2 linked regions of the Stegostoma tigrinum genome follow. Each later gene encodes a partner of the first gene's protein in a complex. Links are inferred from orthologs where the notes say so. Each region holds a gene or a part of one and is shown on either strand. Other genes may lie near its edges.

What was found. The genes of interacting proteins can lie anywhere in the genome.
Region 2: the proteins of ankyrin repeat and SAM domain-containing protein 6-like (region 1) and anks3 are in contact, whole or in part, in a crystal structure (PDB 4NL9), measured with the Homo sapiens proteins. The link is inferred for Stegostoma tigrinum from reciprocal best matches to the Homo sapiens genes ANKS6 and ANKS3. Residues at the interface, in NP_775822.3 of Homo sapiens: Glu796, Gln797, Glu798, Val799, Asp800, Glu802, Ala803, Thr806, Leu807, Asp811, Glu814, Leu815; in NP_597707.1 of Homo sapiens: Lys441, Tyr442, Thr470, Leu471, Phe472, Gly473, Pro474, Arg476, Lys477, Arg484.

The regions. Positions count from the first base shown.
Region 1 is NC_081355.1:20,773,818-20,781,617, forward strand, and holds the start of ankyrin repeat and SAM domain-containing protein 6-like, read left to right. Parts: upstream 1-4,796; 5' UTR 4,797-5,346; coding exon 5,347-6,199; intron 6,200-7,800.
Region 2 is NC_081376.1:31,370,820-31,378,638, reverse strand, and holds the start of anks3 (ankyrin repeat and SAM domain-containing protein 3), read left to right. Parts: upstream 1-4,800; 5' UTR 4,801-4,985; exon of another isoform or gene 4,986-5,442; 5' UTR 5,443-5,460; coding exon 5,461-5,630; intron 5,631-6,405; coding exon 6,406-6,604; intron 6,605-7,550; coding exon 7,551-7,672; intron 7,673-7,819. UniProt on the Homo sapiens protein: May be involved in vasopressin signaling in the kidney.

The DNA.
Region 1 (7,800 bases):
TCGTCATTGGATAATCATATGGACGTACATGGAATAGTGTAGGTTAGATGGGCTTCAGATCAGTATGACAGGTCGGCACAACATGGAGGGCTGAAGGGCCTGTACTGTGCTGTAATGTTCCATGTTATGTTCTAAAAATTATTTCCTGAGGCTCACATCTAGCGTACACTTTGGCATCGACCAACTGGACAAAGTTAACTATTACTCCAGGGGAAGACGAAGGCAATTTGGTGAGTAGTCTCTGGAACTCTAGGTTATTGCACAGTGCGTGAAGGGTGAAGGAGAAAGTTCAGTGTCAAGAGAATAGAATGAGAAAATGGCCAAACAACTCTTAGTTCATTTCTTCCTGCTTCTCCATCTTCCATGCTTCTTCCCATCTCTGGAATCGACATATAAAGCAGCATTCTATTGTATGGCAATTGAGTGAATGATGTTATTTGTCTTAAATTAGTATTGGTACACACCAGCCTGACCTGTAAGAATAGTGGGAGAGTGCTGATGTATCACCGGTGATCATTGCAAAAATGTATGCCTATGATCGCCTAGCATAATTTACACAGCAAGAGAAAGAATCAGCAGGTGTCAGGAACACAGTTCAGTAATGCTGTGGGCAGTAGCAGGTGCAAAGCTTGAAAACAGAAGGAGCTGCCAATCATAGAATCCCTACAGTGTTGAAACAGGCCCTTTGAGTCAACAAGTCCACACCAAACCTCATAGCATTCCATGCAGATTCATCCCCCATAACCCACCTAATCTAGGGCAATTTAGCATGACCAATTCACCTAATGTGCACTTTGGACTGTGGGAGGAAACCGGAGCACCTGCAGGAAACGCACACAGACACTGGGAGAATGTGCAAACTCCACACAGGCAGTTGCCCAAGGCTGGGATCGAACCCCGGTCCCTGGTGCTGTGAGGCAGCAGTGCTAACCACTGAGCCACCACGACACCCCCTAGTTATTCAGCTGTTGCCAAAGGATATAAGTGAATGTTATATGTCAGTTGTATGAAAGACATGATGTTGGAATGTGACATGGAGGTGGAGGTCTAAAATGAAGAAGCTATCAACATTCTGAATGGAAGCAGGAAAAGTGAAGGATCACAAACTATTCAAACACCAGAACTAAGAGGAATACAAGACCTTTTTCCTTGTGAGCAATAGCACCATCTGAGTGATATCACTTAATTAAGAAGATTTTCACTAAATTAGGTAAAGAAGATTTTGACTGACAGGGGAATAAATTATTTACACAATGAAAGTCCTTTTAGAATTACTATCTCAAATAGAGGAACAAAAGTTTGAGTCTAGGCAATGGTCTTAAGAATAGAAGTACATCTACAGTTATGTGATGAAAAAACTACAAATATGGAGGCCAATAATATTTAGTAGGTGAATTCTGAATAAATTAATTCAAAAATAGCTTGGAAATTCACACATGGATGACAGTGTGTCTTGGATCACAGTGCATCCAAGTGGTTCTTTTCAGATTCGGTTAAATGTGGTTAAGAGAAGGCTCAACAATAGCAATTTGCTTAAATATGAACATTTATTGAGTTATAATAAAAGCTGAAAAAGAAAGAAACATTTATTAAGTAAATAAAAAGAATGATAAAGAGAGGAAAAAAACAATAAGCCTCCCGCCCTTATGCCTGTCAGGGTCCCCTTGATCGAGGGCTGGTCTGGAGGCTGAGTTGTTTCTGGCAACATCTGCAATCCTGATCCGAGGTGAAGTCCAGTGACTTGGAACAAAACTCTCTCTCTTATACGGTGTAACAAACAGCAAGGCAAAGAAAAAAACAATTATAGAAAAACACGATTGTGCTGTCTTCAGCACATACAGGAATGCTCACTGGACTCCTTCAAGGTCGTGCAGCTTTCGAATATCATCATTGACTTTTAGCCCTTTGGTACATCCTATCCAAATTACAATCAGAAATGGAGGTGCTTTCTGGTTTTGGAGACACTGAACAAACGAACAGACAGCCCCATTTTTAAATATGGGGTGGCATAAATACAAGTGTTTCAAAAGATTTGGAGATTACATAACTGAATGATAGAGGAAGTTCTCCAAGAAATCTCATATCTTAGAGAATAGTGGGAAAACTGAGAAGAATCACTGGTGAATTCCTGAAAGCTGTGGCACCAAGGACCGGGGTTCGATCCCAGCCTTGGGCAACTGCCTGTGTGGAGTTTGCACATTCTCCCAGTGTCTGTGTGGGGTTCCTGCAGGTGCTCCGGTCTCCTCCCACAGTCCAAAAATGTGCCCATTAGGTGAATTGGTCATGCTAAATTGCCCTAGATTAGGTGGGTTATGGGGATGAATCCTAAAAAGTGTAGACTCAGTTAGATCCTGCACGTGCAAGGGAACACTTGGGTGGAAATAAAGATCATAAGATATAGGAGCAGAATTAGGCCATTTGCCCATAAACACTATTAACAGGGACTTTGCATTGAGATTTTTGCATTGAAAATCCAACTGTTTACAAAATAGAGTGTTAAACTAATTATACTTGTTCTATTTAGCTCTTGTACAGTATGAGTTCTTTTTGTTTGAAATGTGGATCTATGACACATTATTCTTTCAAATAATAATTGGTAGTTTGAGTTGGGGTTAAATGTTAATAATCTCCTTCAAGATTGTAACATCATTTGAAAAAAATTCAAGCCAAAATGGAAAAATCAGGACAGTGGCACTTTATGCATTTCTCCATCAGAGTATTAGCATAATCAGAATGGTCTTCTTCCGTGCTAAAAACATTCTGTAATCATCTGAAAAGGAAGAATTTGCAGGGAGCAGGGAGAAAGCCAGGTAGTGGAACTAGATAAATTGCTAATGCCTCTGCACACATGAAAGATCAAAAAGCCTTCTCCTGTGCTGGGATCATTCTGTAATTTTGTCTTCTACCTAACCAGATCTGGTTGTGTGGGGTTAAGGTCTAGATGATAGGCATGTTTACCTGGGAGATGGTGCTGCTGTTGGATGAACTTGCTTGACATGGGATTTTAAGCTTCACGTGAAGGTACTGGTGTTACCATAAGACATATGACCATAGGCCATTTGGCTCAAGGAGTCAATTTTGCCATTCAATGAGTTCAGTGGCTGATCTGATAATCCTCAACTCCAATTTCCTGCTGTATCTCAATAACTCGAGAAACCCTTCCTGATCAAAAATCTGTCCGTCTCAACCTTGAACGCTGTAAGACTGTGACCCCTAACCAAGGACAAAGACTCAGGAGATAGACAGGATTCAGGCACGTAGTGGACATTTAGTCAAGCAAAAACCAGTTAATGCAGGGAGAGGGCCAAATAATCTTCCTTGAACCTGGCTTGGACATGAGAACACAATTGTTCCCTTAATCTGCATCTCAGATCAGAAAAGAGATCAATCACATGCTGATTTTTACAGTAAAAATGGAGTATTTTTATACATTTTGTTTTACAATGATCATACACAATGTGGTTACTGTACCCTCACCTTCCTGTCAATAGGACCAATCCTGTAAAACACCTGATCAATGATGGGCATTAGTATAGACAACCCTCGAATCCCTTAGCCTTTTAACAATTACTGTAATCTTTAGACTTTGGGACCTTTCTATGTTGCATTCCAAAGTTACTGGTCGCACTCCTCTGGCCACCTCGTGGCCCGCTCACCTCTGAGGACTGACTGGATTCCACCGTTTACTGCACTTGTCATACTCATCAAATTTTATTACTTCTTTTTAATTTAAAAAAAGTTAATTCTGTTATAAAATTCATATTAAAATTGTGTAATTACTTCTACAGTTAACACTCTTTAGTTAATGAGACAAGATATGCTAGACATCTCTTTAACGTTTTCGTTTGGTGCCTTCATTTTTAAGTTTTATAATGACATTGAAATTTTTCGTGATTTAAAAAAAACCTTTAACTAGAACCAAGTAACACTGTAAACAACTTCAAAGAAACAGCCAATCTGCGAGATAACACATTTAATGACCAGCCTCCACAGTCAAGAATTCCAGATTATTACCATTTGAAAGAAAACAAACTGTCTTAAACAGGCAATTTCTTTACTCTGAGATTAAGCTCTCTGCTCCAAAACTCTCCCACAAGGAGAAACAGTGTCTCCTCATCTACTTTGTTAAGCTCTACAAGAATCTTGTTTCTGTAAGATTGCTTCTCATTCTTCTAAATGTCAGCTACCCAACCAAGTCCAAACTACACGACCTCTCCCCGAAAGACAATTCCCCGCATCCCTGCAATCAACATAGTGAACTTTTCTCTGAATGGTCTCCAATGCCAGTGTATCTTTTCCAAGGCAAGGAGATCAAATTTGTTGACATAGTCCAGGGTGAGGTCTGACTAATGTCTTGTGTAATTTTAGCCACACCTCCCTATTTTTAGGTATTTTCTGATCAACTCAAATGTTTTGCACATGCTGATGGAACTTGAACGGAAGCCTCCTGGCTCAGAAATTAGGTCACTACCACTACACAAGGCTCTACTGATTTTCCAATGCTTTAAACTGCCCTCTGTGGGTTGCCCAAGCGTCTTCAGTTTTTAGTAGCACGGACACCATTGCTGTCTAATAAACCACAAGATCAGACTTGGGTTGCAGGTCCTGGTCCTGAAACACTATTTCATTCAAAAATTAGAGGCGTGATAAATTTGGTCATCTGGTTTATTTGCCGAATGTTTAGTCCATTTCTCTCGTATGCTTTGGGACTTCAAAAAAGTAGCCAGCCTCATCCCGGAGCGAGTGCATACAGAAGCATCACGTAGATTGTTCGGCAGCCCCCTCGATCACTGAGGTTAGTGTACAGCTGGGCTCTGGGACGCGCATGAGCGCGGGGTTCCCATAGTCAGAAGCAGAGCCTGGGGAAATCCCATTGTGACGCATGTGGTAGCGTCATTCGGCACAGCCTATTAGCCAGCCCTTTGGGAACAGTTCGACGTGTCGCTCGGTACTGAAGCCTCGTCCCTCCTCGCCGCGAATCGCGCGGTTTCGGGGCTCTTCAAATGAAGTCGGGAAGGAGGCGGGGAAACGAGTGAGACGGTGGTGTCTGATTGGTCGTTCGTCATGTCAATCGCAGGGAGGGTTACTTGGGCTCGGCCCTTCTGTTTTCTGCACCGACCCGTCAATAGGGTTCAGCACCGGGAGAACTGACCTCAATTGGTCGCTATAGTAACGGGAAAGACGGTTCCAACGTGCATCAGGGTTCCTCGCAAATCCCGACTGGCGACCAACTCCGGCGTGAGAGGAAAGAAGAACGTCGCAGCGATGTCGTTGCTTCAGGGCTGGACGCTGATGGGCGACCGGGACGCATCACCTTTGCTGTTGCCGCCTAGGCCTTAAAAAAAAATGGAGTGCGGGATCCCCCCAATCTACCAGCTTCTGTTCCGCGCCTGCGAAGAAGGAAACTTCGAGAACGCCAGGCGGCTGCTGGAGCCGGCACCGCGAGACGGCGACGAGGAGGATGAGGAGAAGAAGAAAGAGGAGGTAGAGCGGGGCGAGCAGGCGGCGGGCCCGGACTTCAGGGCCCCGCAGGTGCCCGTCGACTGCACGGACGACGACGGCAACTCGGCGCTGCAGTTCGCGGCCGGCCACGGCCACGAGCACCTGGTGCGGTTCCTGCTGATGAAGGGCGCCTCGGTGGACAGCCGCAACCGCTACGGCTGGACGCCGCTGATGCAGGCGGCCCGCTTCGGGCAGCTGGGCGTAGCGCGCGTGCTGCTGGAGCACGGCGCCGACGCCAACGCCGCCAACAAGCTGGGCGCCAGCGTGCTGACGGCGGCGGCGCGCGGAGGCCACGTCGGCCTGGCGCGCGCCCTGCTGGAGGGCGGCGCGTGCCCGGATGCGGGCGGTGGGGGCCGGCAGCAGCGGGTGGGGGAGGGGCAGGAGCCTGCGCTCGCCCCCGCCTTGACACCCCTGATGGTGGCGGCCCAACATGGCGCTGAGCCGCTGGTCAGGGCCCTGCTGGAATGGGGGGCTTCCTGCTCCGGAGCGCCTGCGGGACGCGCTGGGGGCTGGAGCGCCCTGATGCTGGCGGCACTCAACGGCGAGCTGGCCGTGGCCCAGCAGCTGGTCGATGCAGGCTCGGATCCCAATCAGACGAACGTGGGAGGGATGACCGCCTTCGAGATCGCCTGCGCCTGTAGGCAGAAGGAGATCAGAGACTACCTGGATTCCAAGACCACCAATCGGCCCAAATCAGGTAGGGGTTTGAAGGGGATGGCAGCAATGCAGATGCTGGAAATCTGCAATAAACTCAAGACGCTGGAAATAGCAGCACCATCGTAGAGAGAAACAGAATTAACGTCTGCAGTCCAATATGTGCTCAACCTTAAAATAACAGGGGACTTTTTAAAATTCATTCACGGGATGAGAGCGTCGCTGCTAGGCAGCATTTGTTGCCCATCGCTGATTGCCCAGAGGACAGTTAAGTGGCCTGCTGTGTTCATCCAGCTTCACACTTTGTTATCTTGTTCTATTATCTTGTCAATGTAGCTGAAATTGACAACACTTCCAACCAGAAGGTGGTGTATTCGGCTCCAACAAAATCCAGCACTGGCATAGTGTTGTGATATAACAGGTACTTTCCCGATGAAATGTAAATCAGAAGAAATGCCTAACCTTGTGAGAGGATAAGGGTCTAGGCCCAAAACGTCAGCTTTCCTGCTCCTGTGATACTGCTTGGCCTGCTGTGTTCATCAGCTCTGCACCTTGTTATCTCATGTATGAGTATAATTTATGCTCTTTCATAGAGGAACAATGACATTTAGTCATAGAGATTTACAGCAGGGAAACAGACCCTTCATTCCAACTCATCTATACCAACCAGGTATCCTAAATTAATCTAGTCCTATTTGCTTCCTGATATTTATCCTTTATCGCTGATTCTTGTAAAATGGATCACAACATGACAAGCAACCTTTGAGAGATAATGGGAACTGCAGATGCTGGAGATTCCAAGATAATAAAATGTGAGGCTGGATGAACACAGCAGGCCAAGCAGCATCTCGGGAGCACAAAAGCTGACGTTTCGGGCCTAGACCCTTCATCAGAGCTCTGATGAAGGGTCTAGGCCCGAAACGTCAGCTTTTGTGCTCCTGAGATGCTGCTTGGCCTGCTGTGTTCATCCAGCCTCACATTTTATTATCAAGCAACCTTTGAGCTTGCATCACCATTTTATCAGACAAAGACTGGTCTGATTTTCACTTCAATTCCACATTCCTGCATACTCCCAATAATGTTTCATCCCCCTTATAATCAAAAATCTATCTACCGATGCCTAAATTTGGATGGGAATTCAGAAGGTCTGGTTAGTACATCTGTGGGTGGCAAAATTAGTGGTATAGTCGACAGTGAAGAAGGTTATCTAAAGTTACAAAGGGATCTTGATCAATTGGGCCAATGGGCTGAGGACTGACAGATGACATTTAATTTGAATTAATGCAAGAGTTTGTATTTTGATAAAATGAACAAGGGCAAGATTTATACAGTTAATGGTAGGGCTCTAGGCACTGTTGTAGAAGAGAGACATAGGAGTTTAGATACAAAGTTCTTTGAAAGTTATGCCCTAAGTAGGCAGAATGGTTAAGAGGGCATCTAGCATGTTTGTTTTCATTGCTCAGACCATTGAGTGTAAGAGTTGGAACAACATTTTGAGGTTGCACAAGATGTTGGCGAGGCCACTTTTGGAGTACTGTGTACAGTTCTGGGTGGCCTGCTTTGGGAAGGATATTCGTATTAAATTGGAGAGGGTGCAGAAAAGATTTATCAGGATTTTGCTGGGATTGGAGGATTTCAGTTGTA
Region 2 (7,819 bases), on another chromosome or scaffold:
TTCGATTCCTCCCACTTCCTACAGACTAAGGGGGTGGCCATGGGCACCCGCATGGGACCCAGCTATGCCTGCCTCTTTGTAGGTTACGTGGAACAGTCCCTCTTCCGCACCTACACAGGCCCCAAACCCCACTTCTTCCTCCGTTACATTGATGACTGTATCGGCGCCACCTCTTGCTCCCCAGAGGAGCTCGAACAGTTCATCCACTTCACCAACACCTTCCACCCCAACCTTCAGTTCACCTGGGCCATCTCCAGCACATCCCTCACCTTCCTGGATCTCTCAGTCTCCATCTCAGGCAACCAGCTTGTAACTGATGTCCATTTCAAGCCCACTGACTCCCACAGCTACCTAGAATACACCTCCTCCCACCCACCCTCCTGCAAAAATTCCATCCCCTATTCCCAATTCCTCCGCCTCTGCCGCATCTGCTCCCACGATGAGGCATTCCACTCCCGCACATCCCAGATGTCCAAGTTCTTCAAGGACCGCAACTTTCCCCCCACAGTGGTCGAGAACGCCCTTGACCGCGTCTCCCGCATTTCCCGCAACACATCCCTCACACCCCGCCCCCGCCACAACCGCCCAAAGAGGATCCCCCTCGTTCTCACACACCACCCCACCAACCTCCGGATACAACGCATCATCCTCCGACACTTCCGCCATCTACAATCCGACCCCACCACCCAAGACATTTTTCCATCCCCACCCATGTCTACTTTCCAGAGAGACCACTCTCTCCGTGACTCCCTTGTTCGCTCCACACTGCCCTCCAACCCCACCACACCCGGCACCTTCCCCTGCAACCACAGGAAATGCTACACTTGCCCCCACACCTCCTCCGTCACCCCTATCCCAGGCCCCAAGATGACTTTCCACATTAAGCAGAGGTTCACCTGCACATCTGCCAATGTGGTATACTGCATCCACTGTACCTGGTGCGGCTTCCTCTACATTGGGGAAACCAAGCGTAGGCTTGGGCACCGCTTTGCAGAACACCTCCGCTCGGTTCGCAATAAACAACTGCACCTCCCAGTCGCAAACCATTTCCACTCCCCCTCCCATTCTTTAGATGACATGTCCATCATGGGCCTCCTGCAGTGCCACAATGATGCCACCCGAAGGTTGCAGGAACAGCAACTCATATTCTGCTTGGGAACCCTGCAGCCCAATGGTATCAATGTGGACTTCACCAGCTTCAAAATCTCCCCTTCCCCCACCGCATCCCAAAACCAGCCCAGTTCGACCCCTCCCCGCACTGCATCACACAACCAGCCCAGCTCTTCCCCTCCACCCACTGCATCCCAAAACCAGTCCAACCTGTCTCTGCCTCCCTAACCTGTTCTTCCTCTCACCCATCCCTTCCTCCCACCCCAAGCCGCACCTCCATCTCCTACCTACTAACCTCATCCCACATCCTTGACCTGTCCGTCTTCCCTGGACTGACCTATCCCCTCCCTACCTCCCCACCTATACTCTCCTCTCCACCTATCTTCTTTTCTCTCCATCTTCGGTCCGCCTCCCCCTTTCTCCCTATTTATTCCAGAACCCTCACCCCATCCCCCTCTCTAATGAAGGGTCCAGGCCCAAAACGTCAGCTTTTGTGCTCCTGAGATGCTGCTGGGCCTGCTGTGTTCATCCAGCCTCACATTTTATTGTCTACACCTTGGTATCTCAGATTCTCCAGCATCTGCAGTTCCCACTAACATTGACACACATTCCAGTATCAATTCAAATCCAAATAACAGTCTTCAAGGATTGAGGTTTACGCAAAAGAGCTGATGACATCAGCTACAATTGGAGGAACAGTGTGGCCCCATAGCTTTGGGTGCTGCTGGTCCTTTGGTTCTTCTGGATGACGATGTCTAATGTGTCCTTCTATTTGCAAAGATGTAGCTGCCGAAGAGTTGTCCAGCAGTAGCTGAGTCAGTATGCTTCCACCTTCAGAGAGGGTCAACAGTGCAGAGAGGCCAGGGAGTCCGGCCTCTGCACTAGGCTTTTATGAGCTTGTTGTTTCCAATTAGAATCCTTCTGAACAGTGTGTGCTGCAGCCCCCTCCTATCAGGCTGAGTCACTTACCTTGCCCACTCAGCATGGTTGTAGCCATTTTCTTTCCATTGCACATTTTTGATTTTAAGGGTAACGTAAGGTGATAGTGAGTACTTTACAGTGACTCCCAGCCTCAGCCTGACTATGTCAATGTGTAGTCTAATAGCCTTTCCGAGTGGCCCATTCTGTCAAAAACATCAGATTAACATTTCCACAAGTCCTCACCCAACTCATCTACATTCGTCTACATCTATCTACCCTTTCCACCCAGACTCAAGCAAACAAGGTGAACATGCCTGGTTTGTCATTCATGCCCACGCCTTGAAGCCAGGGTACTACTAACCATGAACAATTGCTCCTCCGTCATAACATATGTCCCAGCTATGCTTTACAACCTGGCACACATCAAAATTCTGCTGGATCCCTCCTCGATTGTAGTGCACCATTTGCACAGTGGGCATTCCCCAGTCCCAAAGGCTAACGTGTTGGTACAAGACTGTAGCCACTATTTCACCCTCACCTGTCCAAACCACTTACTTTCTGAGAATGGAACTGGCAGACTGACAGTGGCCCACTTCCTCAACCAAGGGGTAACTGGACAGTCCCAGGCCAAATGTGCCCAGTCTCTTGACTGCCATCTATACATCTCCCTAACCATATTATTGCTGCCCTTTGGATTGGCTTCAACAATGTCAATAGACTGACCTTGGCCCACATAGATCCTCTTGAGTGAAAACCCACCCAAAGGATGCCTGACATGGTCAGTTGCCTGGACTATATTGAGAAGTTGCCTATGATGTACTGTGCTGGGATCTTCCCTGACAAAGAGGCCCTTGGGCTTCTTTGAAGATTATGCTTCAGAAATTTCTGAAGAAGGGTTCTGACCTGAAACATCAGCTTTCCTGCTCCTCTGATGCTGCCTGGCCTGCTGTGTTCCTCCAGATCCACACAGTGTTATCTCAGACTCCAGCATCGGCAGTTCTTACTATCTCTGGTACATAAAGTTACCCATTATAGATAATCAGAGAAAATTATCATGCATTAACAGAACTGTTCATTACCTCTAGTCAGTTACACTTCTATTAAGTTTTGTACAAGCATTGCCTACAAAGTCTCTCTCAATGCTATGTGTGTGCATTGACATTGGCTGTTTGGTATCTCGTTGCTCCTGGTGTGTCACTTCCATGGCAAGTGCTGTGACTATGGTAACTGTTGTTACCGATTCATTTCCATTGCTAAGGGATGGTGGTCAGCTGCATACAGTGAAGTACAGGATCTTCAGCTGAATGGCAATGTCTACGGGTTGTATTTTTTTAGCCTCCTTGCTGTTTCATTCCGTAATAAGTCTGAAAATTCACTATTTTTCAGTTGAATACTTATTACTGTTTTGGATATTTTCTTTTTACAAGATTTAATGTACACCACATTACTAGTGATAACTGCTTGCTTTGCTGTAGATGCCTGCTGGGGATATTTCAAAAAGGGACTGGCTGGTTTTTGTTTTATCTGGTTCACCATTCAGCTGCACTTTCCTGGCTGCCACAGCTTGCATGTAAAAGCACTCTTAGCTGAAGTAGAGGTCAAACGATTACAACAAGTCATCCAGTACACCAAGTACAAATGCATTTCTCAAAGCAGTTATATAATATATTTTTACAGAAGCAAATATATTTTAAATAAATATTTCTTGAAAAAAAATCTATACAAGTACTTCCTGGTTTGCAAAGCATTTTAGAATTTCTTGTGAACAAGGCTGGAGGAACATTATAGTTCTGATCCCATTACTCCACGCGTCACAACATATAATAGAAATCTTTTTTCCAGGCATCAAAATGGCCAATTAAATGCTTTTTCTATATCATATTTTTAAAAAAATCTTTGAATCAGGTTGCTTAATAAAATACAATTTCAAATTTATCAAAGTACAAGTAATTTAGTAAAGATACAATAATTGGTTAGTGTTCACAGGCAGTAGTAGAGATGTATAAATGTTTCTCGTTCTCAATATCTCCACAACACGCATGCTTCGGGGAAAAGAGAAAAAGAAACAGCAGACATTGGCTATCTGGAAAAATGGGAAAGAAAAACATTTTTGTCAAGAGTTATTCTTAAAGGGAAAAGGATAAAGCAGAAGATGTTCCAATGTGCACTGTTCTGATGTTCTGGCATATGTGGTAAAATCATACATGTCTCTGAAGTCTTGTAAACACAGTTTGCTCATGGAATACAATCTAGCAATGTATTGTCAATCATTCTTTCATAAGAACAAATAAATTCCACTCAACAAGAGAGTTTTTTCAGAAATGAGAGAGAAGAGCTCGGCAGCTTTTTGTTAGAAAGCTCTCCCTGACTCAGCTTGTTCTTAGCAAGCTTCCCTCCAACTGAACCAGATAAAACAAAAACCAGCCAGTCCCTTTTCGAAATATCCACAGCAGACCATGCAAACTTAGCAATAACAAAATTGTTCAGCACAAAGATAAATCTACACCACTTTACTCTTCTGGTACAGTAGTTGTGTCTCTACTTTTTGGTAGGTTCAAGTCGCATCGACTCCAGAAATGCGTAATAAGATTGATCAGAAAGGTATATAAAACTAACAACAGCTAAGAAAGTCCTCCATTGCAGGGGTATGCTGCTGGGCGGAGCAGAGATCTTTAACTCAGCGGAGTACCTTCTTGCATTCATCCTGCCTATCGTTGTTTATATGGCCTCATGTGTATATGATTGGCTGGTGTATGTCACATGCTTGTGTAGCCGGAAGAGAAGCAGCGGTGAGAAAGTGCGGTAGCCATTTTCTGTCCAACGGTGTTACTTTTACTTTTTTTAAAAAAAGGTAGTGATCATCGCAGGGGACGAGCAAGGGGGGCGCAATTGTTTCTTGCGGATGGACGTAAAGATTATTAAAAAAAACTTAGCGCCGTTGGCAGGAGGCCTAGGTACTCTAACCTCTAGCAACAAGCGTCACAACACAGATAGGGGTCACAGTAACCCATAGCAACAGGGGTGACAGTAACCTGTAGCAACTAATGTCACTTACACACCGATGGGACAACTGTAAAGTTCTGAATCTCCTTAGGTTATTTAATCATTTAAAATATCATTTCAGTAGATTAATGGTTCTTCACAAATCCATGACATTCTAATCCTGTCACGATATTCTCACGATGTCCTCGTATTTGGAGATGAGGCATGACTTGTCATTGAGGTTGTTTTTCCGCATGGTCCGTCTATATAGTCTCCGATGTGATCAGTACCTGAGCACAATATCAGGCCCACTGATACGGAATGTAGTTGCCTCCTCTGGCCTTCAAGGGTTGCACTGACTAGGAATTCCCACACCACTGAGCATGTGATTTGAAGGAGGTGTCGTGATGATCTGATCTTTCTGTACAGGAAGGAAATTAGACCAGCATGTCTGAGCTGAGTGATGACTCAAGTGAGACCGAGCTTCTGAATCGCAGCTTGTCCATGTGGCATGGCTTTGAACAGCTAGTTGGCTGTGAGGACCTGGATGTCCCTTTAGACCTTCACACGGCATCATCGATTGGACAGTATGATGTGGTGAAGGAGTGTATCCAGAGGTAAGAGCAGGAAGACTGTTAGTTGCCAGTGAGACCCAATGTGCAAGGATAATAATTTAGCCAGCATAAGCATGTTTACTTAAAGATGTGAATTCTTCCAAATTAACTTTTACTCTGCTTGTAGAAACTATTAAACTGGCTGATTTATGAATCCTCATGTATCATTACATCAGGTGCTTCCATACCTGAATGCTGTCAATTGATCCACCAAATCACTTCAGCTGGAAAGTGCTTATGTGGATTACAGATTGATGGTCAGTATTATCAATCTGTTGATAATTCCACTGAAAATCATTACATCAGCAATCCTAGAATGAAATCTTCATCAGTAGTGCCAGCGTTCAACACACTCCAACAAATCCAAAATCATATCTCACCTTCAGGAACCTGCACACTCTGCCAAAACTAGCCCCAACATAAGAATCCCTATTTAGTGCCTGACACAGTTACAGAAAGTGAAAACCAATGTCAAACTGTAGGGACTGTAACTTATCATCTTGCATTTCAGACAGGTGTTGACGGTACCCGTTGGTCGAGGGAATCTTTAGTGACTGGGTCTGTCTGTGTGTGTGTATGTGTGGACCTGGCTCAGTTGTGTATGACAGGGGAGTGGGAAAGTATCTGGCACTGTGTGTGTGTGTGTGTGTGTGTGCATGTGTGTGTGTGTGTGTATGTGGCTCAGATGGGGTTGGTATGTTTGTGTGCGGACCTGGCTGGCTGTGTGTGGGGGAGCGGGACTGTGAAATTGGAATGATTTGTTATTTGCCTTGTTTAGAGGAAAAGTAAACCCGAATCAGAAGAACCGGGGAGGCTGGACACCTCTGATGTACGCGTCATATATTGGTCATGATACTGTTGTTCACCTCTTGCTGGAGGCAGGAGTGGATGTCAACATGACAACAGAGAGAGGGCAGAGTGCATTGATGTTGGCAGCAAGCTGTGGCAATGAGAGCATTGCCTACTTCTTGCTTCAGGTCAGTATGTTTTGGGGTCAGTGATTATGCAGTGTGGTCTGGGGCAAGTTAGTGGTATAATTTGGATTATGGAAACAGTGATGGAGATAAAGTAGCACCATTCAGGCAACAGAATATCTTGGGTATGTAATGAATGGGATTGAATTGGTGCAGAGACATTAAAAGGAAACTGTGACTATAACACACATCACTGAAAGTTGATAAAATGTGAGGCTGGAAGAACACAGCAGGCCCAGCAGCATCTCAGGAGCTCAAAAGCTGACGTTTCGGGCCTAGACCCTTCATCGGAGAGCTCTGAAACCAATCCTTCGAGAGAGCTCTGATGAAGGGTCTAGGCCCGAAACGTCAGCTTTTGTGCTCCTGAGATGCTGCTGGGCCTGCTGTGTTCTTCCAGCCTCACATTTTATTATCATGGATTCTCCAGCATCTGCAGTTCCCATTATCACTGAACGTTGAGCCAGTGTACAAGGCAATAGAACTGGAATGCTTGGATATGTAGCCACAACAGATGTATATGATTCCACAGCAATTAAATTGATGATGTATAATGCACAGGGCAGCTCTCTTTTTACCATAATGGTTACCTCAAGATCATAGGTGTATTTATCCGGCAGAACTACTGAGCTATTAGGAAAGATTACAGACTACGTCGAGGAGAGAAGATGGTTTGCAGGATATTGTTCAGGATATTAATATTGAGTGGGAAGTTTAGGGGACATATCATTGCAAATGTTTGATGCAAACGAAGCTGCAGAAGTAGAATCAGATATCAAAATTTGGGCTTCAGTGGAAGGTTTTGGACATGGAGGGACTAAGGTGCAGTAGGAGGGTTAGGGTACTCGAAGGATTGGTTTCAGTTGGTACTGGAGGTTTGGGTTTACCTGGAAGTGTTAAGACACAAGAGGGCTGAGATTTGATGAGCTGAATTGCTTTTTCTTTCAAGCAGCAAGGGGCTGAACTGGAACTGAAGGATCACAGAGGCTGGACTGCACTGTTCCATTGCACGAGCACTGGACACCAGCAAATGGTGAAGTTCCTTCTGGATAATGGGGCTGATGCAAATCTAAAGTAAGATACGGGGTAGATATGATTTGCATGTCCTTCATCCTGAGAGCATATTCTTTGTTCAATGTTTTGTTCACTGCTCACACAAATATTAAACATCTGCTAATGCACAACAGGCCTACCTGTATTTAAATGGTTAATAGTGTACAA